3 linked regions of the Diceros bicornis minor genome follow. The protein of the gene in region 3 interacts with the protein of the main gene of each other region in a pairwise test. Links are inferred from orthologs where the notes say so. Each region holds a gene or a part of one and is shown on either strand. Other genes may lie near its edges.

Region 1 (7,892 bases), on a different chromosome or scaffold from region 3:
AAATTTGATAGCTCATCGCTGGAAACAAATGAAATGAAAACCTATTCTTTTTGTGGCAGTTTTACTCTACTATGCTAAGCCCTTTAGAAAGAGGAAGTTTTAATTTAATTCCACAACTACAAAAACACAACACTGTCTAACAGTGGTTCTCGTGATGCTTTGGTCCCTCAGCAGCTCTTTTCCAGCAGGGGGGATTTGGGGAAGGAACACTGACATCTTGCAGACAAGCATGAGACCTGTGCCTTACACACAGAAGAAATACATGACTGACCCTTTCTCAGAAATATACAATGCATATTTTCATCTAATTTTACTGAAAGCAACACAAAAGGAAGAGCTACAGAAGAGTAGTGAGAATACAGTATTGCCACAAAACCAGTGTTGGATGGTGGATAAACACTGAGTGAAGGAGATGAATAGGTTTTAATCTGCAGTTAGGATGCTGAGAATGAGTCTGTGATCTGAAATATCTGCAATATGCTGAGCAGCTTTTAATGGCTGCCACAGCCTCAAAACAGCATCACCTGTCCTCTTGAAAGCACTAACTGGTCAGCTCTTATCAATATATGGGCTCAGATGATACCTGGTATGTATGTTACTTTGTTAATTCAGGAGTCTGACTCAAAGAGGGTCTACCATGGTTTAAATAAAGGATAACAAGTAGACGATTAGCAAGGAAAATTCTACAGCTAAGGAAATGGGGGCAGGGGAGAGTAACATGCATTCCAGCCTAGAAGGGTGATGACAGGTGCAAGTGACGCCACATACAACATAGGATTCTAAACATCTAAAATTGATACAGAATTTATCTTCCCATTGTAATTGACAGAGAAACTAGGCTTGGTTTTTGGCTTCAAATAATTATATAACACTATTAAAACTCACAGAACTCTGAGTATTCTTCTTCCCCAAGCTTTGCTGGACCCAAGTATTACTGAAAATAACACAGTCCTCCATAACACTTCATGGTACCAGGCTCTTTCGGATATTTTATTTCATTAAAAGACCAATGATCCAGTTCAAAAGGTCTTTGGCTCTGAAATCCTGGAAAAGTCAATCTATCTGGCTCTCTGCTTCCTTGATAAATAACTGAGGCTGACAATTTGGCTGAATATGCTAATTAATATTTCATAATCACCAGCTCCAACAGTACTAAACACTTCACAAGCATAAACTCACTGACCCCTCACTATGAGAAGAACTGTTATTACTCCCATTTTATAGCAGAGGGAATTGAGGCACAGAGAGGCTAAGTAACTTGCCCCGGGTCCCAAAGCTAGGATAATAAAATGACCTGCTATACCAAGGTCTGACCTAGGATGCAATAACTTTGCCCAAACTGAGTGTGAATGGTGAAGATGCAAGTCTTCTTATATGGCCTGTCAATGAAATAGGTGATCAATAGTCAAGGAGAAAAGAGACGGTTCTTTCAAAACAAAAAGGCTTTTCAAAATCCTTTTAGAATTATTGGCTCAAGATTTGGCCTAATTTCACAAAACCAACAACGCAACACCTCTTCACAAAAAGGAATGTTCCGCTGAAACAAGCATCAAGGACTGTAATGCCTTCCTCCTCTGTCTCTTCCAGGGAAGCACATCCTGGCTTGAAATACGCTGTGACATTAAGATCACCTCCTGGCTTGAGGTACCATAACACTCAATTTAATCTGAATAAATTTAAATGTTTTGTGAATCGGAGAAATAATCTATTTTTAAGGATAGCATCAAGATTAGGCAGCGTTCCTCATGTACTGTCATTACTTTGAAAGGGAAAGAAACTTAAAATTCACTGCTATATTCCAAACCACACATCACATGAGAAGTACGGAAACCAGCTGGGATAAATGCCTTCTGAGAGGTTCTTGAGGACAAGGACTCTTACGTTTATGCATCTTTGCAGCCCGTACTACTGTGCACTGCATGAAACCTGCATTTAAGCATTTCCAGCAGATGCATCAACAACTGTAAAGTATTATAACCAAAAGAACGAACGTGGCAAAAAAAGCAGGTTCCACGTTGAATTTGTACAGAAATAAAACTGTGTCTAATCATGGTATGGTTAAGTAGGGGCCACCGGTGCTTCTCAAGAACGAGAACACGCTCTTGGTGTCGACAGAGGATCTTTTGCTTTCAAAAGGCAAAACAAAAAACCACTACGAAATTTCTGTCTCTCATCCTAAACAGCTGAATCATTCATTCAACCGTCCATAATTCTTCCAACAACTGCCAGTGCAGGCTCTGCTTCTGGGGAAGTCCGAATTTAAGACCTTCCCTAGAGAGCACGGAAAAATTATAGAAAATTAACGGGATTCCCCCAAGGACGCTGCCTTCAACAGGCGCCGCCTCATCCATAACCAAATAGGAGGCCCTGGCCACGACACCAGTCTCCGGTGAAGGAAAAATACTATGCCGAGAAGACGCATTCGTTCACCCACGACAATTCACCAAATGCCCACTCGGTGCAAGGCACACGGCCCCTGACCGCTGGAACGGGGACGCCGCGGCCACTTGCCCCTCCGCGGGGACGCGCCCAGACGCCCCTCCGGCGCCCGCGGGGCCGCCTCACGACCCCCGACACCGGGCCCCGAGCAACGCGTCCAGCCGCCGCCAGAGGAACACCCCGGCCGGGCACGGCGGTGAGGGCCCGCGCACCCCCGGCTACCGCGGGCCCGCGAGGCCGGGGACCCCCGCACCGAGGGGGACAGCGCCGGGCCGAGGGGCTGGGGGGGAGCTCTGCGGCCCTGGAGGGTGTGTGGGGCTGAGGGCCCCTGGGGCGTTCTGCGGGCTCCGGGGGACCCCAAGGGAGGCGCGGGGGGCAGCCAGCCAGGGAGGGGCCCGGGACAGAGACCCTCAGGGCACGCGCGGTCTGGCGCTCACCCAAACAGCCCTCGGAGGAAGGAGTGGGAGGCCTTGACTCGCTTCTCAGCCTCCGCCATCAGCTGCACCGCCTCACGCTCCTTCCCCACGTTGTCCATGTCGCCGGCCGCCGCCGCCGCCAAAACCTCCTCAGGCGGCTTGGACGCGGCGTCCAAGGCTTCGCTCGCCTCTCGTAGCGGCGGGGAGCGCAGGCGCGGCGCGCGGCCTGACGGGATTTGTAGTCCCGGGTCTGGAGGCGGGGAGCGCAGACGCGGCCGCGCGGCCTGACGGGATTTGTGGTCCCGGGTCTGGCGGCGGCGAAGCTCGCCGGTCGACTACAGTTGCCAGCTCGCCGCAGAGCTGGGTGTGGTGGGAACCGAGCGTGGAGACCGCGGGCGCCCGGGGAGTGTGACCCTCTGTAGGGGTCCTAGGCCAAGGTAAATTTTAATCGTTTAGGTATGCGGGAAATGGAAAATGACCCCTGGCTTCCAGTAATCATCAACTCAAATACGCAGCATCACGTTGGTTCAAAAATCCCTGCTCGTCAGGATTGACACATGGCAATGGGATGGATGAGGAAACGGATAACAGACTGGAACGCTCAACCTATGCCCCAGCTCTGCAAAGGAGCTAAAGCAGCCTCCGAAAGCAATTTTATTAACCTTGTGATGCCCACGCACTCACCAGCAACAGCTCGCAGAAACAGCCATTTTTATCTCCCGAGCAAGACGTTTAAGAATATATCATTTTCGCTAGTATGAATTCAGAGTTAGTTTTCAGTCTCCCCATATTGTACCTTTCTGTCTCTCCTCTCTTCTTTGATTGTTAATGAGTTGCATTAATGACCAATCTACTCTTTTTATTGACTGAATTCTTTTCAATGGATGTGAGCCATTGAGCTCTCTTATCCTTTATATAATGGTGACCATAGAGAGTGCATCTCCTGGGATGCAAGTCCTGCCTGCCAGGAAGACGTCTAATTTTCTAGGAGAAGTATCCATAGATAGATGCCCTCGGGTGCTAAGGATTTCCAGGCCTGTCCCAGAGGGAGTTATTTTTTAATACAAACTCTAGACCATTTACATTGGCAATACTAAAGCAGAGGTGGTGAAGCAAATATGAAAATCACTGCCAAATGAGAACTTGTGACAATTTCAAACTATTAATAAATACACTGTGGGCTCTGGCACACAAAATATATCTAAGAAAATGAATCCTGTCTTTAGACAGCAAGGCAAGAGGGCCAACTCCTAGAAAGAAAGGTAACTAAAGCACGTGTCACAGAGTCCACGCATTGCAGGCACTCTAGAGAGAGAAGGAAGTCTCACATCTTCAGACAGAGTTTATTTACTCTTACTACATGCATTATTCTAACTTCCAAAAGCTATGTGTGTGCTTTTGGAGCAGTATGGGGGAAGAAGGAGGCAGAAAATTAAAGGTGGCAGTGATACTGAACCTCTTAATCTCAAGTTTGTGTGCCCAATGTGAAATAAGCCGAACACTCAGACACCAGTGCTTGGAGATGGAGAAAGTTTTATTTGAATGGGCCAAAGCGAGAAGGCAGGACAATGGATTCTCTCAGATCCACCTTTACAAAAGAAGAAAACAGGGGGTCTTTGTAGAGCTAAGAGGCTTGGCAGGAAGAATTTTAGAGAAACAAAGGGGAAATCCGTGTTTCTTTCACTCCAGATAAGTCTTTGGGCAGCCGGACTTCTGGGTGTCAACAGCAGCTGGGGCCTGGTTATCTGGTGATCGTAACCTCCTTAAAGACATTGTTTTTCTTCTGCAAGACAAGTTCATAAATCCTTGTGACCCTTGAGTCACCCCTCAGGTTAAACAAGAAAACAGCAAGTCAGCAAGATTAACTTCTTTTCATCTATGTCTGTGTTGGGAACAAGATCGAAGGGTAGTCATGTTCTTACTGAATATTTACAGTAACCCTCAGGTACCCGGCTTCAGCAATAAATGCAGGAGTAAAGAAATAAACTGCAAAAAGTGGACATCAGCATTTGAAAAGCAGAGCAGTCTATGGGGATTTAATGGAGTTGGGCCAACTTGAAAGCTCCTACGAGCAGCATCAAGATGTTGATTAAAGCAGTTCCCAAAGCTGGCTCAATGCAAAAACTCTAAAGGATGTTCAAGAAATACTGATTCCTAAGCCACCAGCTTTTTGTATCAGGATCTCCTGGAGTTGCGGTCTAGGAAGTGCACATATTAAAAAGAATTCTCCACCACTATTCTAAAGCATACAATTTTAGATTCTTAGATCTATAGTCAGCTTAAAAGGAGGTAGAATGGACTGTCTCCTCTAAGCTAGAACTTGCAACTAAGGGTGGCGGGAGTACATCTCGATGTTTTTGATATTTCTGGGTATTTCCCTCATTTTCTTTATCATGGGCACTCCTCCTGTTCCCCCAATCCAGGCTCAGTTGGGAGAAAAACTTCAAACCTTAATTATTGTGTACAGCGTGTGTTTTCTTCTCCCAGAGTCTAGGTGAGGGGATTTGGCAAAGCAGAGAGACAAACCTCACAGAATAAGGACCAACTAGGGGGACAGATGAGGCATTTTTGAAGGGTGAAAGAAAAGGAGACCTGCTCTGGTGTGGACCAGGGAGGGAGTGAGGCCCTCGAGTAGGAGCTGTCCAGGAGTAGATCGAAAGGACCTGTGGCCTACACATGTGCTGACCAGGATGGTGGCCACTTGCCACAGGTGACCATTTAAATTTAAACCAAATAATATGAAATAAGGTACAAAATTTTGTTCCTCAGTCACACTAGGCACATTTCAATTGCTTGATAGCCACAGGTAGCTAGTGGCTGCCATATTGGACTGCACAAATATGGAACATTTCTGTCATTGTACGAAGTTCTGGTGGACAATGCTGGCCTATACACACCTTGCCTTTCAATGGCTCTGGACACTTGGAAGAAAAGAGGAAAAAGGCTTCAGACTGCATTTCTGGGAAGATGAGCAGGAAAGGAGGTGCCTGCACCCTGAACAAGGCAGAGCCAAGCAGAACCTGCAGGCCTTTCCTTATGAGCAGATCAGAGTAGACACAAAGACACTCAGACTGAATGAACGCATGAGGTTAGATTGGAATGTCGAGTGTCCAACTACCCACCCTGAGAGGTGGCCTGCAAAGGCAAGGCTGAAGCCATTTGAGAACAGCCAGCTCTAAGAGAAGCAGGGTCAGAAAAGGACCCATGGGGAAAACAAGGTGTGGCCATCTGCGTGTGTTCATAGAAGGGGGTGTGGCATGCAGAGAGTCCTGTGTGGAGTTCGGCACTGCGAGAGAGTGCAGCAGGCACAAACGCAGTGTACCTCCAGGATTGCCTGGGCTGGCCTCCTGACTGGCTAGTGCAGATGCCTAGTGCACTGGGTGAATAACCGCCATGCAGCTGAGTGCAGCTGCTCACACTACTCAGGGTCCAGCAGCAGCTACCAGTTACTAAGGTCACTTAGTGTCACCCACCTCCCCTCCCTGTAATTCCAAAGTCAGTTGGAAACTGCTGATCATGACTAGCACTTAATATTCACATGCTTGCTGGTCCCAACTACTGTCACCTGCAATTCTCCTGGGGGTTCTCTTTGGCATTCCAGCCTGCTCTGCATGAACGCTGGAGGAGTAGGGGGATTAATTAGCTTTATTAATAGAGGAATTAATGCCTCTTTGTCTCCTGGGAGCAGCCCTCAATCAATGACTGTTGGGAAGTGGAAGGATAAATACCCATCTGGTGGGACAACTCTGAGGAATGTTCTATACTCTCTCTTAGAGGGCCCCAGTGGGAAGGAGCACCAGCTACCTACAGTAGAAGGTCGTTTGTTCTATACCCTTTATTGACTTCCTTCCTTTCCCTGCCCCCACACCCCACTGGTGCTGCCTGCTGATGTCACCTCCCGATAAATTGCTTTCTCTAGACTCCTTGTCTCAAGGTCTCCTTCTGGGAGGACACAAACTAAGACAGAGAGAGTATGCGCTGAGGACCAATAGGTGTGTTCTGGTCCCCATGGGCAGTCATGGTGTTCATTACATTACAGATTCATAGATTAGCATTCTCATCCATGGATAATTGTATACTTAGGGTTCTGCTTCCCCACTTCAACTTAGTGGTGTAAAACAACAGTCATTTATTAGTATTATCGCCTGTGGTCTTAGGGGTTTTAGGGACTGGGCTCAGCTGGGGAGTTCTCAGTCAGATGGTAGCAGAGCTGGGGCCTCCTCTTCCCGCACATGCCTGGTGCCTGGGATGAGAAGACTCAAAAGGCCAGAGCAGCCACAGATCCTCGCATCACTCTCTGGTCTCTTACATGGTGGCCCGGGCGTCAAAGGTGCTGGGGGGAGGGGGAGCCGGGTGGCGGGTGGATCACCTTTATGATCTAGTCTCCAAAGTTCTGAGCCATCACTCCTGCTTCCCTGAAGCAAATCACTCAGGCTCACCCATATTCAGGGGGTGGATCTCGAAGGGTTTACAGACATGTTAAAACAACCACAGTTAGGTTCAGGGGAGCCAGTTCCCACCCTGGTCCACTCCAGTTACATTGACAAAGCTGTGAAGCTGGAGTCTCCCTGTGGGGGCTGGGGAGCAGCCCCTTACCTCCAAGGGCCCTGGAGCCACGAGGGGCCCTGCCCGGCCTTCAGCTCCTCCTCCAATGACATCTCCGCCTCGCTTCTGTCTGCAAAATAAGAGTGGCTCGGAGGCAGCTGGACAAGGCCAAGTCTGTGCAGCGTGCTCCCCTTTAGAAGGCAGGGAAGAAAGGAAGCCATTCCAGTAGGCTCTTCATCCAAAAGCATAAAAGTAATGAATTCATGAAAATGAATGTTCTCCATTCCTGGTGTTGAGGTGGGGCTTCTGTACTTTGTGCAGCTTTAAGGACAGAATTTATTCACTCTGTTTACAGTGGTTCTTTTCCTTTTCCTCATGGACTTGCAAAACTCGAGAGCATTTGAATGGGAACTTCAGACAAATAATTAGATAAGTGCTTTTTCTTATAATTTTTTTTAACTTTTCAAATCAACATTGGTTTGTGTATGTGTG
Region 2 (7,187 bases), on a different chromosome or scaffold from region 3:
GCCAGATGATTAGGAAGATACAAGATGATTAGGAAGAGCTAACAATTTCTTTCCTAAGTGCTTCCTGCCTCACCAGTTTTCCCCAAACCAACTCACACAAGATGATGATGGAAGCAATTTTAAAAATTAAATGGCGGGTCAGGTAGATCTTACAAAGCAGTATAGTGTGGAAGGAACAGAAGTAATGCCTTGGTCTAACCTCCCTCCCCTCCCCACCCAATGCCCCAATGCAGCTTCGGGAAGAGGATCTATTGAGTTAGGCCTTTTGCTTGGGCTCCTTTCAGGGTCCTCCCCTCAAACCCCTGTTCTCCCCAGACATCTTCCTCTACTCCTTGTATCTGCTTCCCAGTCTGCTGTACTATTCTGCTCCCTCAGCAAGAGAGTTACTTCCCATCTCTTCCCAAACTGGGGCTCCTCAGGCCATGGCCAGATACAAGTGAAATCATTCCTTACTCCAGCCACTTTCTTGGGGCGAGTGGACTCGGTGAGCCTCCTAAGGTAGGGAGGTGGTAGAGGCCAGTTCCATAGCCATTCTCCCCACAGCAAGAGCTGGGCTGATCTCTTCACCAATTCCCTCAGAGGAGAAACACCTCAGCAAAGTAGACATTTAGTTTTTTTCCCTGAAGACAACACAGTCTAGCTTCACATGAGGAAATTATATTCCTCCTATTAACATGGGTTTGATTGTGTTCTTTTCAAAACTGTAACCCTCACTTTATTTCACTAAGGAGCCTTTGACCACTGCCTGGGTTTGGCTTACATCCTGAGTCACGATGTCAGCTCTGAGTCGCTTTATCTTAGTCATCTGAGACAGCTTTCTGATCCCCAAATCTCTTGTCTAATAGAAGCGAGGACAGGAAGATGTGTGAGCTCATTCCTCCTGCTTGTGATTTTTTCTTGCTTCATGTATTCCTCCTTTCATAATATGTCCTAAGAAGACATAGACAATTAGGTGGGGCTAGGGAAACACTAGTATTAGATGAGAGTATTTTTCCACTTGTCCCTGTCAGGGTCCTGCAGGAAACAGCTAGTTTGCCCAAAGGATTTAATTGAAGAGAGTTTAATAAAGGGACTCTTTATAGAGGTGCAAACAGACTTAAGAGAACCCAACAAGGAATGGTGAAGACCCAGGACAAGCAAGAGCAGGCAGCCAATATTACACCTGGGCCTGCAGAAGCAAAGGGGTGTGGTGTTACTGGACCCTACAAGAGCTGTAGATATGGAAGACAGGCCAGTTGAAAGTTGACAGTCATCGTGGCAAAGAGGAACGCAACCACTGCAAAAACCATGGCCTGGCAAGGGGGCACAGAGGGATAAATAGGTCGACCTCTCTTTCTTCCTGCCCTCTGATCTCCTTCCAGAACCACCCATCGGCCAAAGCCAAATGGAAGCCAGTGGGCAAGGAGCCTGCCAGGGCACAAGGCAAGGCAAAGAAGGGTGGAGAATGGGGGGGCAAACAGAGTAACCAACACATAGTCAACATTTGCAAGTTTAAAAAATGGTCCACTTATCCCACAAAGCAAACCACTATGTACAACTTATCATACTTTACATTAGAATACTGGACCTCTGTATGCACCAAAAGAAATGCAACATTACTTCGTGGAAGTTCAACAGATAGATGGGTGGGGTTGGATTTTCTTTCCCTACCTTATCTTCTTACTCTGCATTTTATGTCTACGTCAGTGAAAATAAAAATCTGTGTCATTATGTACGTGTGTCTAGAATCACAGGTTTTTTGGAAGGTTGTCTTGTTCAATGCCTCACTTCCATGCCCCCCCCCCATCAGGAATCTCTTAGATCGAATTACTGACAGGTTATCTAGTCTGAGTAAGTACTTTGGTGACAAACTGTTTACCATCTCCTATTATTGGACAACTCTGTTAAAAAAAAGTTCTTAACACTAAGCCACTTAGTGAAATTTTAGTGAATACTTAGTGAAAATTTTCCTTTTCCAAGTGACAAGTTTTATCAAAGTTAGGTCCTTAAAGGACAACTTAACAGTTGAAATTCTCTGTTTAGCTTGTAACTTCAAGCTGATTCAACACCATCCGTACCATTTGGCCATGTTTTCTTTTCCTGAGATGTTTTGTTAAATGGGCTCTGGAATCCCGGAGATTCTTATTTGCTGCTGCTATGGAGCAAAATCAACTCGAGTGGAGTGAAGATATTGAGTTAAGGGGGTGAAGAAGTTAACTGGGGACAAGGACTAGATACTTTCAGGGAGAAGAATAGGGACACAATGACATTCTTGTTCAAGAACTACTAGCTAAAGGTCACAGAGGAAGAGAAACAGCATAAAATTAAACAGGGCATGTATACAGCACTCAGGAACCAAATGACTGAAAATATAGAACTGGAAGATTCAGTATAGTCTCTATTTATTCCTGTGGATCTACTCTCACCCTTCTCCACTCTGCTGTTTGTCCCCAGAGGCTGACCTATATGAACTGCATCAACTGCCCTCTGGCTTCCGATTAGGTTCAACCACTGGGTCCCTGGGCAGGAGATTGGAGGGGAAGAGAGTAAGGCTGGAATATTCATCCTGCCTCCCATTCTTCCTCCCTATGGGGTCCCTGCAAGCTGGCTGCATCCTTCAACTCAAGGCCATAGTCTCTCTCTATCTCTCTCTCTCTTTCTCTCTCTCTCTCGGGATTCCAGTAGCCATCTCCCCACTCAGGCCTGGACACTGCAAAACCCTTGTGGTTTCACACACCCTGCCCACAACTTTGTAAATAGTCCTGTGCGTTATTAAATTGCCCAATTGGAATGTGCCATCTGTTTCCTGCCATTTATCTCCCAACAAACATATTGAGTAACTACTATATGCCAAAGAAAAATAAAATGATAAATTAGACAGTTATAGCCTCGAGGGGGCAGTCAAGGGAGTGGAGACAGCCACAGAAACAGATCTTTATATATTACATCTTGATAAGTGATGCAGAGAGGCATTGGATGGAGAGGTGGGCGGAGGTGTAAAATAGGCGTATAGGCAAACTCAAAGAAGGTTTCTTGGTGGAGATGGGGTTGGGCAGGGAAGTCGGTAGGGAGTGGTCAGGAGCTGGGAGAGAAGTTTACCGCCATGGATAGGTTGATTCAGTCAGGGCCAGTCAGGTTGTGGTAAAGGATTAGAGTGGAGGACTAGACTGGGCCAGACCACAGAAAGCCTTCTACTGTGGGAAGCAGTCCTTCTTTTCCATTTGCTTACTCTCCCTCTCTTTCTCTACACCAAGGGAAAAATAATGATACCGCTGAGGTCTGCAGCCTCTTATTCTTAGCCCTTAATCCTGCTACTACCAGGGTTTGACACTCCTACTTGTTGGCCTAAAACCTGTCTTTTCCATTTAAAATCACTCCTATGCACTTCTTGAACCTTCTAAGGTCTTTCAAAATGGCAACAAGACAATATGGTATACTAGTCCTTAGAGAGGAGCTACAGGAGAGAGTTAGAAGTGAACGTTCCCAAATACATTCTAGAAGTCCTAATAGCCAGAGCCCTGTTCCTTTAATAGCAAGAGAGAACACCGACACATTTTTTGTCCAATTGAGAAGAGTGATAATAATGTTGGAAAGAAGGGAGGGCGTGAGCCTCACTTCATCAAGGCGGGGCTTTGGTCCAAATAGATTTGGGCAGGGGGCCACTTTTAGGATCCATTTTTTATTACACTACATAGGCAAGTCCAGGGTCCAAGAGATGTCTGTCTTCCCTCTCTAAAGCGCAAACTGCAAATAGTTTCCTTGCTAGGTAAGGCCAAGCCTATACCGCCCCACAGAGTCCTGCTTGGCGCTTGGCGCTTCCTTGACATCCAAGACAGCCAACCTTCTAGGCCTGGGGCTTAGAGTGCTTCGTTAATCAAAATCACACACACTCCACCCAATGGACCTTGTTTTCTGTTAACCGAGAGTGCGCACCACTGCCTTATTCAGCCTCCCACAAAGAAGGAAGAGACACAAGAAAAGTTAAAGTGGTGGTTTGGGATTCTCGGAGCTCTAGCTCTGAACAACTAACTGGTTCAGTTACTTGAGCCCTCGGCCAGCTCGGACGCCGGGCCAGGGGGCGGCCACCGCGCAGAGAGCTCTCGGCGGCCGCGAGATCCCAGGGGTGGGGCTGGTTTCTGAGCGAGGGCCAGCTGCCCACCCCGTGGAGGCCCCACATCTCTGGCTAGCCGGCGAGAAAGCCCCTCCTCCCGGGCGGAGACAGCTTCAAGAAGTCGACGCCCGCGTCCTGCCGCGGGGCTGGTACCCAGAGGCCGCCGCCGCCTCGCCGACTTCTTGTGGCTGCCCGGGCGCGGAGTATGGGACTCTGATGGCCATGGACGGCTACAGGGGCTTCCTGGGGCTGCTGGTGTCGGGGCTACTCGTCGGCTTCCTGTCCGTGATCTTCACCCTCGTCTGGGTCCTCCACTACCGGGAGGGGCTCGGCTGGGATGGGACCGCGCTCGAGTTTAACTGGCACCCGGTGCTTGTGGTCACTGGCTTCGTCTTCATCCAGGGCATCGGTACTGGGCGTCTCTTGGAAAGCGACCGGGAGGGAGGCGCGGGTTGGGGGTCCCCGACCTAGTCCCAACCGAGTGGGGCCGACGTGGTCGAGCGAAGGGGTGAGGGAAGAGCGAGGGGCGCGCGGGCGCCGGGGAGCCGGGGGCGGAGCGCGCCCCCGAGCCGAGTCGGCGGGGCGCGCAGCGGGAGGGAGGTGGGCGTGCTCCGGCGGGGCCGAGCTGGGACTTGGGCCGCCGCGGGCGATCGCGGGAGTGGCGGCGCCGGGACGGGGCGCCCCGGCGCCCGGGGTTCGCTGTGAGGCGCGTTACGGGGGGCGGCTGGGCACAGCGGCGCGGAGCGGGCGCGGCTCCACCTGCTTAACTCTGCTGCGAGTGGCTTGGACGCAGGGGAGGTGCCAGAGCGCCGTGCGGCCCGCAGGCCACTAGCGCCGGAAAGTCGCCCCCTGTGGGCCGAGCCTGCGCAGTCAGGGGCGCGGAGACTCTGCTAGGCGAGGCCTTTCGTTGGACTTGCTTCAAGTTAGGAGAATTGTAGATTAGGAGAGCGAGGCAATCGGGGGAAATGGAGGGGCGAGAATCTGCCTCTTCTTGTCCCATCGTCAGCCTGAGTGGAGGGGCTGGTCAGTCGGAAGCTGGGGCATCAGCATCTGGATTCACTCCTCTTAGAGCGTTAGACTCAGTCGAGCCCGAGAAGCTGCCAGGTCTCCAGAGGGTGTTTCGCTGCCCTGCCTGGTCATTGGTCAGTCTTGAGCCCAGCGTGTTTTTGTGGCTGTCGACTGGCGCAAGTTCGCTGGCGAGGCCTCCTGTTGGCCGCTGCCGGGAACTCCGGGCAGGAAATGCCCGCCGGCGGCCGGCGACGAGCCCGCTCCGGGCCTGCTTGCTCTGGGCTGAGGCTGGCGCGGCGGGAGGGGTCAGTCCGTGGCGTTTTTTCTTCTCTGAGGTATAATTAATTGACATATAACATTATATTAGTTTCAGGTGTATAATGTGATTCTGTATATATATATATAGCGAAATGTCACAATAAGTCTAGTTTACATCCGTCACCTCACATAGTTATAATTTTTTTTTCTCATGTTGAGAACTTCTAAGATCTACTCTCTTAGCAACTTTCAGATATACAAAACAGTGCTATTAACTGTTGTAACCATGCTGTACATTACATCTCAAGGACTTATTTATTTTATAGCTGGAAGTTTGTACCTGCACCCATTTCGCCCGCCCACCCCCCTCTGGCAACCACCAATCGACGGCAGTTTTCATTGTCCTTGCGTAGTGCGGTTCACAACGCCCTGACAGTTTCCTTGGCTGCTGTTTGGCTGGAGGAACCTCTAGGTAGTGGTGCAGCGCCCTTTATTTGTAACCACTTTCCAAAAAGTGAACTCAAGGCCTTGGCAGAGAAAGTATTTAGAAAAAGAAAGTAGTGGCCTGGGGTTATGTCGCAGAAAGTAATCGAGAGGAGAGGAAAGGGTTCGGAAAGAGGTGCCCACCGGCTGAAGAATCTAGCCTTGCTTCTGAACAGGCTGCCTTTTCTCCACCAATATTTAACTCTCCACAAGCAACAAAAAAGCTCCGACCTCATTCGTAACAAAAAGATTTTTGTTTCCACTTAAAATTTGGGCTGCAGCCTTCGGAGGGTATGGCTGCCTTTCTTCCACTCTGGGATGTAGTGGGAGACGTTGCTAAAGCCCAGCCTTGGTCTCAAGGCTTCCTGGTATGGGAATTGGCACCGGGGTGTGAGTACTGCTGGCCAGCTAAGTTATTTCGTTGCATAAGACCCAGTTATTTTGCCACTAAACTAAAATGAGAAAAACATACTCAAGTTCCAAAGTCGCTGACATCAGAACTCTTTCCTTCCTGGTGGAGCCCTTAAGTTTGGCCAGAGCTGTCAACACCATCTGTTTGCTCAAAGCAGTAGTAAGTCTCTTCATCTCTTCCAGCCAATGCTTCAGAGCAGCTCCTAATACCAAAATACTTTCCAGAGGTTCTGGAATATCTTCTCGTATTTGGGGAAAAGGGAAACTTCCTGACTTACCAAAGGGGAGACAAAGTCACAAAACAATAGCTAACATTTATTGAGTGCTTCCTGTGTGCCCACTAAGGGCATTATTTCACAGGTTTCTAAGAGTAAATGGAAGCACAGAGCAGTTAAGTAACTTACCCACGGAAGTCATATAAGCGTTTTCAGTGGCCTTTATTCAAGGTTCATTTCTCTGCTTTAATGGCAATATGCCTATTTTCTGTAAAATATTCTTTTTAGAGGCATAAAAAACTTACTTTAAAATATACTTTAAAACTCTTCATGTTAGAGTCCATTACAGTTTTCCTAAAATAATTTCTAATTTCTCTAAACTTTGGAATTTTCTTAATCTGTTTATACTCACTTTTGGGCAAAAATCTGTAAATGGATGTTTTGGAAATTTTCATCTGCTGCTTTTATGCAAACCTTGTTTTCTTTAAGTTTAGTTACTGTATTTGTGTTAGTTTTGGAATGTATGTTCTGTCAACATTACCTATCCTGTTTAGTATTTGGATTCCAGATTTGCAAAGCACTTTAATCACATAATACATCTCATTGACATGAACATAAACTTTTTCATACACATAGGCACATGCATAGTACTCCTGAGTTCCTACAAATCTCGGCCCACCTGTACCTCCTCGCACACAGCAGTAGGAAGGCTCCAGTGGAAG
Region 3 (6,836 bases):
TCCTTACTCCTCCCTGAACAAAGCACACCCCCACCTCAGGCCTTTGCACTCACTGTTCCTTCGGCCTGGAATGCTCGGGCCCCACAAAGGCCTTTGAGTCTTTGTTCCAATGTCACTTTCTAAATGAAGTTTTCTTCACCTTATTGAAATTGCAACCTGCCTTCTCCCAGCGCTCTCAATCCCTCTTCTCCTGCTCTTTTTTCCTGAATACTTACTCTGTTCTAAAATAATTTACTTATTTATTTTGGTGATTGTCTCACTCAATAAATCTGTTGAATGCTGGCGGAACACCCGTTTTATTGCTTAGCTGGGAGGTGTGCTAGTGGGCCTGGAGGTCAGCCTGCCGCCCAGATTACAGGTCCACCTGGGCCGTCAGCCTCTCACACTGACGACCACTGACGACCATCACAGGCTCCCCCTGAAACGGCTTCTCGCCTTGTCCATTCCCCTATTGCCTTAAATGTGCTCATTGGACTACCTTCCTCAGAGACACATCTGCTATCCTGGCTTCAGCTGTATCCTTTCAAGATGCCCAAACTGCTCCATATTCAATCTTGTGCTGAACTCTGGGCCCACCTACTCCAACTCTGACCTCCATAAACTCCAAACCACTCCTCACTGGGCATCCAGAGGGGGCTGGTCACATCACCTCAAATCTCCTTACTAAGATGTGATTCAGTGACCTTCCCTCCCCCAGGGAAGTTCCTCTTCTGGACTTCTTGACTTCTGCCCATGGGGCAGAGGATGTCCCTGTCACATGGGCAGGAAACCTCCCAGTCATTTATGACTGCTCCCTCTTCTTCCCTGAGCAGAGCCATTAGCTACCAAGTCCTACCTGAGTAATGTCTTTGTCACCTATTCAAGTTTAACTCCCCATCTTGGCTCCTAGAAAGCATGTCTACCCACAGCCAAGCCCAGGTCATGTCTGGAGACTCAACAACTTCTCATTGAATGGAGGAGAAGGCAGGGTGTTAGAATGGATTAGGAGTGAGGAGACCTGGGTTTTGGACTTGGGTAAGTCCTTTCTCTCTCTAAGCCTCAGTTTCCCCATCTGGAAAATCATCAGGTTGGACTTGATAATAAGAAGGAAGGGCCCTTCCTTCTTACTTCTGCCATCTAATGATCTATAAAACACTGAAATGACCTAGTTCTGGGAATAACAAACCCACCTGGGTTTTTCTCATTCTCGTGTTGACCGAGGTGTAATTCTCATCACCTTCTTCCTTCTGGGGCTCTATGGCTGTGGGAAGACACAAGGGTATTGCTGGGGGAGGGGTTTCACCTGTGGCTTCTGAAAATCATTTAGGGACCAGGACACAAGGCCAGGGCCATACCCCAGCCATACAAAAGAGAGGTGTTTATCTCCATAGGATTGGGGGTGGGGATATAATTTATCATAAAATGACTAATTCTGAACTTTTGACAAGAGAAAAGTTATATTTTTCTTTGCAATACATCAGAGAATTCTCACAGGTACGCAGAGGCCTCCTAACAAAACCCCCATCTGCCTGCCCAAGGAATGCACACTGGGCAGCAAAAATTGTAGGAGTAAATGGTTTCATTACAAATAAAGCCTCAAGAGGCAGGCATGTGCCATGGAAAGTACTATAGAGGGGCGGCCCAGTGGCACAGCGGTTGGGTTCGTGCATTCTGCTTTGGCGGCCTGGGCTTCACCAGTTCAGATCCTGGGCGTGGACCTACTCACAGCTCATCAAGCCATGCTGAGGTGGCATCCCACATAGAAGAACTAGAACGACTTACAACTAGGATATACAACTATGTACTGGGGGCTTTCAGGAGAAAAAAGAAAAAAAATGGGGGAAGATTGGCAACAGATGTTGGCTCAGGGCCAATCTTCCTCAAAAAAAAAAAAAAAAAGAGAGAAAGTACTGTAGACTGGAAGCCAGGAGACAGAGATTCTAGATCTAGGCCTGCTGTGTGACCTGGATATATCTCTGGCTTCTCTGGGCCACACACTCCCCATAAGCCAGGAGCTGGGCAGGAACAGAGGGAAGGATCTGTCTGAGGTCCTAGGAGCTCACCCTTCAGCTCCGCGCGGATCTCCCTCCCCAGCTGTTTGATCTCGTCGCGCAGGTTCTGCAAGTCCTGCTTCATACCTGAACAAAAGAAAGCCATGACTCCCAAACAGCATCCTATACCTCAACAAATCTTCCTGGCCACCACCTGCCTGGAACTGCAATCCCCACAATCCCTCTGGCTGAGCGTGCGTTCTGCACCCGGGGTTTCACTCACCCTCCTCGGGAAGGGGCGTGGCCAGGATGGTGACCTGCTGCTTCTCCAACACTCGGACTTTATTCTCCAGCTTGACAATAGCCTGCTGAATTGTCCGGACCTGGGGAGGGTGACCGAGAGGGCTGAAGGAGATATGGGGGTACTCCAGACCGCGCTGCTCCTCAGGTCTTCCAGTTCCCTCGTGAATCCAGGCCGGGACTCCAGGCTCTTACCTTCTGGAAGAACTCATCGTCCGGGCTCCCCAACCGCGCCGTGCCCGGGTGTACCACCAGCGCGACCCGCTCCTTGTTCTCATCGTCCGAGCTGTCATCCCCCTGCCAGGGCCAGGGTCACTGGCATCACTTCCTTGCTGTAGCTCTCTTCCCGCAGAACTCACGGGCTTCCGGGTCTTTCCTTCCTAGCCCTCAGCCACCCCTCCCTGCCCCAAAGACCAGGAGTCCTGCATTTCAGCCAGATCCCACCCCGTCCGCCCGTCCCCAACCCTGCTGCCCCGACTTCTCACCTGCCTCAGCTCGTGGGTCCTGTCCCGCATGGCGGCCGGAGCTCTCTTTCCCCGGCGCCGGAGCCCCGAGGGCCTCAAGATTCTAAGTTTGGAACTCCGGTACCCCACTGGCACTCTGACACTCCCCTCCGCCCTCACCCCGCGGACCCCAAAACCTCCCACGAGCCTCCAGAGGCTCTGTCCCTGGCACCATCCACAGTCAATGGGAAGGAGGCGACCTCGGGGACCCCCAAGTTTCCACAGGTTGGAATTCCCTTTTCTTTCCCCCCTCCCGCCCCGGTGGCCTCGGCCCCGCCCCCCTGGGATGATTCAGGGCATGCGCACGGGGTCGCGTCTCTTCCCCGCCCGAGGGAGAGGCAGAGGTCGGAAACTGTAGCGCCCCGAACGGAAGCAAAACTGCCAGGACGTGAGAACCCTCCCCCTCGACCGGAACTGTCGCATCTTTCAACGGAAATCTGCTTGCCAAAAGGGGTGGGAATGCGTCATTTGTACGTAATGTGAGAGGCCCTGCATCTCACATCACCCCATAGTGCCCCCCTGCGTCACGTGATCGACCGGGTCCCAGCCTCGCGGACCACAGAACGTGAGCCTTTGACTGTCACGTGTCTTGGCTCTGTCAACTCTGTATCTGAAACATCCTTCTCCCCACGACGTCCGCGGCACTCCGGCGCCCGAGCTACGCCCTTCCAGCCCACCGAGGCGGGGAGGGGGCGCTATCCCCAGAGACCTGTTGAGGCAGTGGGTGGTAGGACCCTTGCTGAATTCAGCTTTATTTCTTTGGGGCCCAGGGCCGTGGGCAGACGACTTAGAATTTGGGGCTGTCAGCATTATGGGACCTTGAAATTCAGAAAATAATAAGATCCAGCGTCAGAGAATTGCAGGGTTTTGTAGGCAGAGAATCTGGGGGTGGGAAGTGACCTCACCCAAGGCAGAAATCTCTTTTTCCGCATACTCCTGGCACAGCTTCCCACAGGTGGGCGGCTGGCGCCCTGCTTGAACATTGCAGTCCTGCTGCACTCATCACCTTCTGAGCAGCGAGACCATTTCAGGGCAGCTCAAGCTAAGAAAAATGTATTATATTGAGCAGTCTGCCACTTACACCTCCCTCCCACCCCCGCCCGCCCCCACCTTGCACCTAGGTCTACCCTCTGGAGTCCACAAAACATTCTGCCCACATTCCATATTATAGCGGACTGTGAGCTCTTGAGGTCAGGGCATGACTGTCTTGTTCTTACCTGAATCGCCAGCACCTAGTTCAGTACCCAGCACATAATGGGCCCTCAATAAATATTTGTGGACAGAATTTTAGCCTTTCATGCATCTGAAGATAAAGCTCATAGTTCCCTAGTCTTCTGTTTCAGGCTTCAGGCTCTCACGGTGACACTCCCCTAACCCTGGCCCTCTAGAGGTTCATTCATTCAGTGGATGTTTATTGGGCGTTTACTATGGGCCAGACACTGTTCTAGGGGCCGGAGATACATCAAGGGCTAAGAGGCAAAAATGCCTTGCCCTTGTGGAGCTTACATTCTTTTTTTTTTTTTTTTTTAATTTTTATTTATTTATTTGTTTTCCCCCCAAAGCTCCAGGAGATAGTTGTATGTCATAGTTGCACATCCTTCTAGTTGCTGTATGTGGGACGCGGCCTCAGCATGGCCGGAGAAGCGGTGCGTTAGTGCGCGCCCGGGATCCAAACCCAGGCCGCCAGCAGCAGAGCGCATGCACTTAACCGCTAAGCCACGGGGCCAGCCCCTGGAGTTTACATTCTATAGCAAGAGTCCCCAAGACTACTCAGTGAGTCTCGGCATAGCCAGAATGGATATCAAGTCTTCTGGACCCCGGGGCTCTTTCCAGGGTGCTTATATGAAGATTCAAGCAAGGGAAGGAATAGCCCCTCTCTAGTATGCCCTGGTAAGGAAAACTAGATTCCTGTGACTGAGTTGCTGTGGACTTCTGGAAAGTCACTTATCTCTGGGCTTTGATCCCCCATCTACACAATAGGTGGCAGTAGGAGGATGGGGAGATAATCTTGATGGGTATTCCCTGCTCTAATGTTCAGTGATATGAGGTTGGAAACTGTCAAGTGCTGTCTGATTCTATGTGAAGACTTTGATCCTTCTCCTCTTCCCTTTAGAATCCAGCTCGCCTGGGTTGGGAATGAAGGAATGAGGATGTGCTGCCCTGATCAACCCACAGGAGGAATAAAGAATGAAGGGTTCAGGAGGCCAAACCCTGCCCCGTGGAGTCCCCTGGAGATCATGAGGAAGGATTTCTCTGCTCCTGGATCTTCCATGTTAGCCTCTGCCTCCCTGCCCTCCTCCCTTCTTTCTCTCTGTCTCTGTCTGTCTCTCTCATACTCTGAGTGGTACAGTGGAAGGGCTTTGGACATCTGACTCCTAGTCCTGGGGGTGATCTTGAATAATTCATTGCTCCTCTGTGGGACTTAATTTCTTCATTTGACAACTTGGTCTGGTAATTTCTGTCTTGCCTAGGGTAAGAACTGAACAATATCAAGTGAGGTTAAGAAGAATTTGGAAGGGTCTTGTAAACTGTGGAGAGTTCCTCCCTCTGTGAGCTTTCACTACTGTGGGTTCCAGCTCTCTCTGGGCCTACGAGTCCCACCTGCCTCTCTCTGTTTCTTAGCATTTTGATGACTTGCCTTCTTGGTTCCCAGCTGTGATCTGGAGTTCTTGGTGCCTTTGTTAAATTTCCCAGGACTATGATATTCATTTTATTTGTGGTCTCTGGGTAGGATCGCAGGGCTTTGCGATGGTGGCTTAAGGCCACAGGAGGGCAGGCTGAGAGCCTCATGGAGGGGTGTGTGGAGGGGCCAGGGAGCAGGGGCCATCTAGGGAGAATGGCTCTGGGGATAGAGCTTTCCAGAGCTGAGCCCTTATCTCTGTCTCATAGTCCTTTTTTACTCCTCTCAGGCCCTCAGAGCAGCTTTGAAGTGTGTGTTAAGTATATTGGGTTTTGCATGTGTGGGTGTTGGGGGGGGGTGGCGGTGTGTATTTTCTTTTCAATCTGTCTGAAGGTTGGGCCCTACCTGTTCCTGAGGCATGGCAGCCTGTCCCGTCCCCTCCACCTATAGGTCCATCCTATTAACACTGGAGCCAGATGACCTGGGTTGGAATCCCAGCTCATTCAACTACTATATAACTCTATAAGACAAGTTACTTAACCTCTTCATGCCTCAGTTCCCTCATTTGAAAAATAGGACGGTAACAGTACCAACCTCATAGGGTTGCTGTAAGGATTAAATGAGATGATATATGTAAAGTGAATAGAACAGTGCCTGGTACGGAATAAGTGCTATATAAGTGTTTGATGCTATTATATGACAGAAATGATGATGATTTTTACCACCAGGGTGTCCGCAGCCCCAGTGTCTCTGCCAGAGATTCCACTCTGCTGCCTGTCCAGGCTCTTCCTTTCCTTTTCCATCTCCTGAGCCCCACTGTGCACCAGGTCCTAGGCTAGCGGTCCTGCACATCTCTCATGTCTTCACTTGGATCTGACACACCTTCTATTTTGCTTATTTATTTTATATATTGTCTATCTTCACCCGTCCTGTCCACCCTGCTAGAAGCTAAGCTCCATGAGGGCAGGGATTTTCACCTGCATCATTCACTGCTGTGTCCCCAGCACCTACAACAGTGCCTGGCACATAGTAGCTGGTCAATAAACATTCATGAATGAATGAAATTATTTCTTTTTAGTTTAATACTTACATAACATTTACTCTGTGCCATGCACCAATGTAAGCAGGTTATAGATATTTACTCATTTAACCCTCATATCAATTCTATGAGATTGGTACTATTATTGTCCTCATTTTACAAAGGAGGAAACTGAGGCACAGAGATGTTAAGTAACTTGCCAAAAGTTACACACTAGTAAATGAGAGAGCCGGAATTTGAACCCAGAGAGTGGAGGTCCAGAGTCTATGCTCTTTCTTAACCACTATACTGTGACCCAAGGAAAACACTAGCCAGGACTGGCTTCCCATGTTCCACCCACCTTTGGGGACTTGCTGCCAACTATTGATGCCCTGCTTTGGATCATCTAGGGGAAGGAGGGGGCA

Evidence for each region. The genes of interacting proteins can lie anywhere in the genome.
Region 1: the proteins of STX4 (region 3) and NAPB interact in binary tests that used the Homo sapiens proteins (3 or more experiments, as listed by UniProt). The two-hybrid records come from large-scale screens. The link is inferred for Diceros bicornis minor from reciprocal best matches to the Homo sapiens genes STX4 and NAPB.
Region 2: the proteins of STX4 (region 3) and plasma membrane ascorbate-dependent reductase CYBRD1 interact in binary tests that used the Homo sapiens proteins (3 or more experiments, as listed by UniProt). The two-hybrid records come from large-scale screens. The link is inferred for Diceros bicornis minor from reciprocal best matches to the Homo sapiens genes STX4 and CYBRD1.

Annotation. Positions count from the first base shown.
Region 1 is NC_080758.1:49,753,131-49,761,022, forward strand, and holds the start of NAPB (beta-soluble NSF attachment protein), read right to left. Parts: upstream 3,019-7,892; 5' UTR 2,975-3,018; coding exon 2,877-2,974; intron 1-2,876. UniProt on the Homo sapiens protein: Required for vesicular transport between the endoplasmic reticulum and the Golgi apparatus.
Region 2 is NC_080749.1:52,860,482-52,867,668, forward strand, and holds the start of plasma membrane ascorbate-dependent reductase CYBRD1, read left to right. Parts: upstream 1-4,169; 5' UTR 4,170-4,306; coding exon 4,307-4,499; intron 4,500-7,187. UniProt on the Homo sapiens protein: Plasma membrane reductase that uses cytoplasmic ascorbate as an electron donor to reduce extracellular Fe(3+) into Fe(2+).
Region 3 is NC_080765.1:20,991,627-20,998,462, forward strand, and holds the start of STX4 (syntaxin-4), read right to left. Parts: upstream 3,010-6,836; 5' UTR 2,786-3,009; coding exon 2,756-2,785; intron 2,568-2,755; coding exon 2,466-2,567; intron 2,376-2,465; coding exon of another isoform or gene 2,354-2,375; coding exon 2,254-2,353; intron 2,118-2,253; coding exon 2,043-2,117; intron 1,241-2,042; coding exon 1,170-1,240; intron 1-1,169. UniProt on the Homo sapiens protein: Plasma membrane t-SNARE that mediates docking of transport vesicles. Necessary for the translocation of SLC2A4 from intracellular vesicles to the plasma membrane.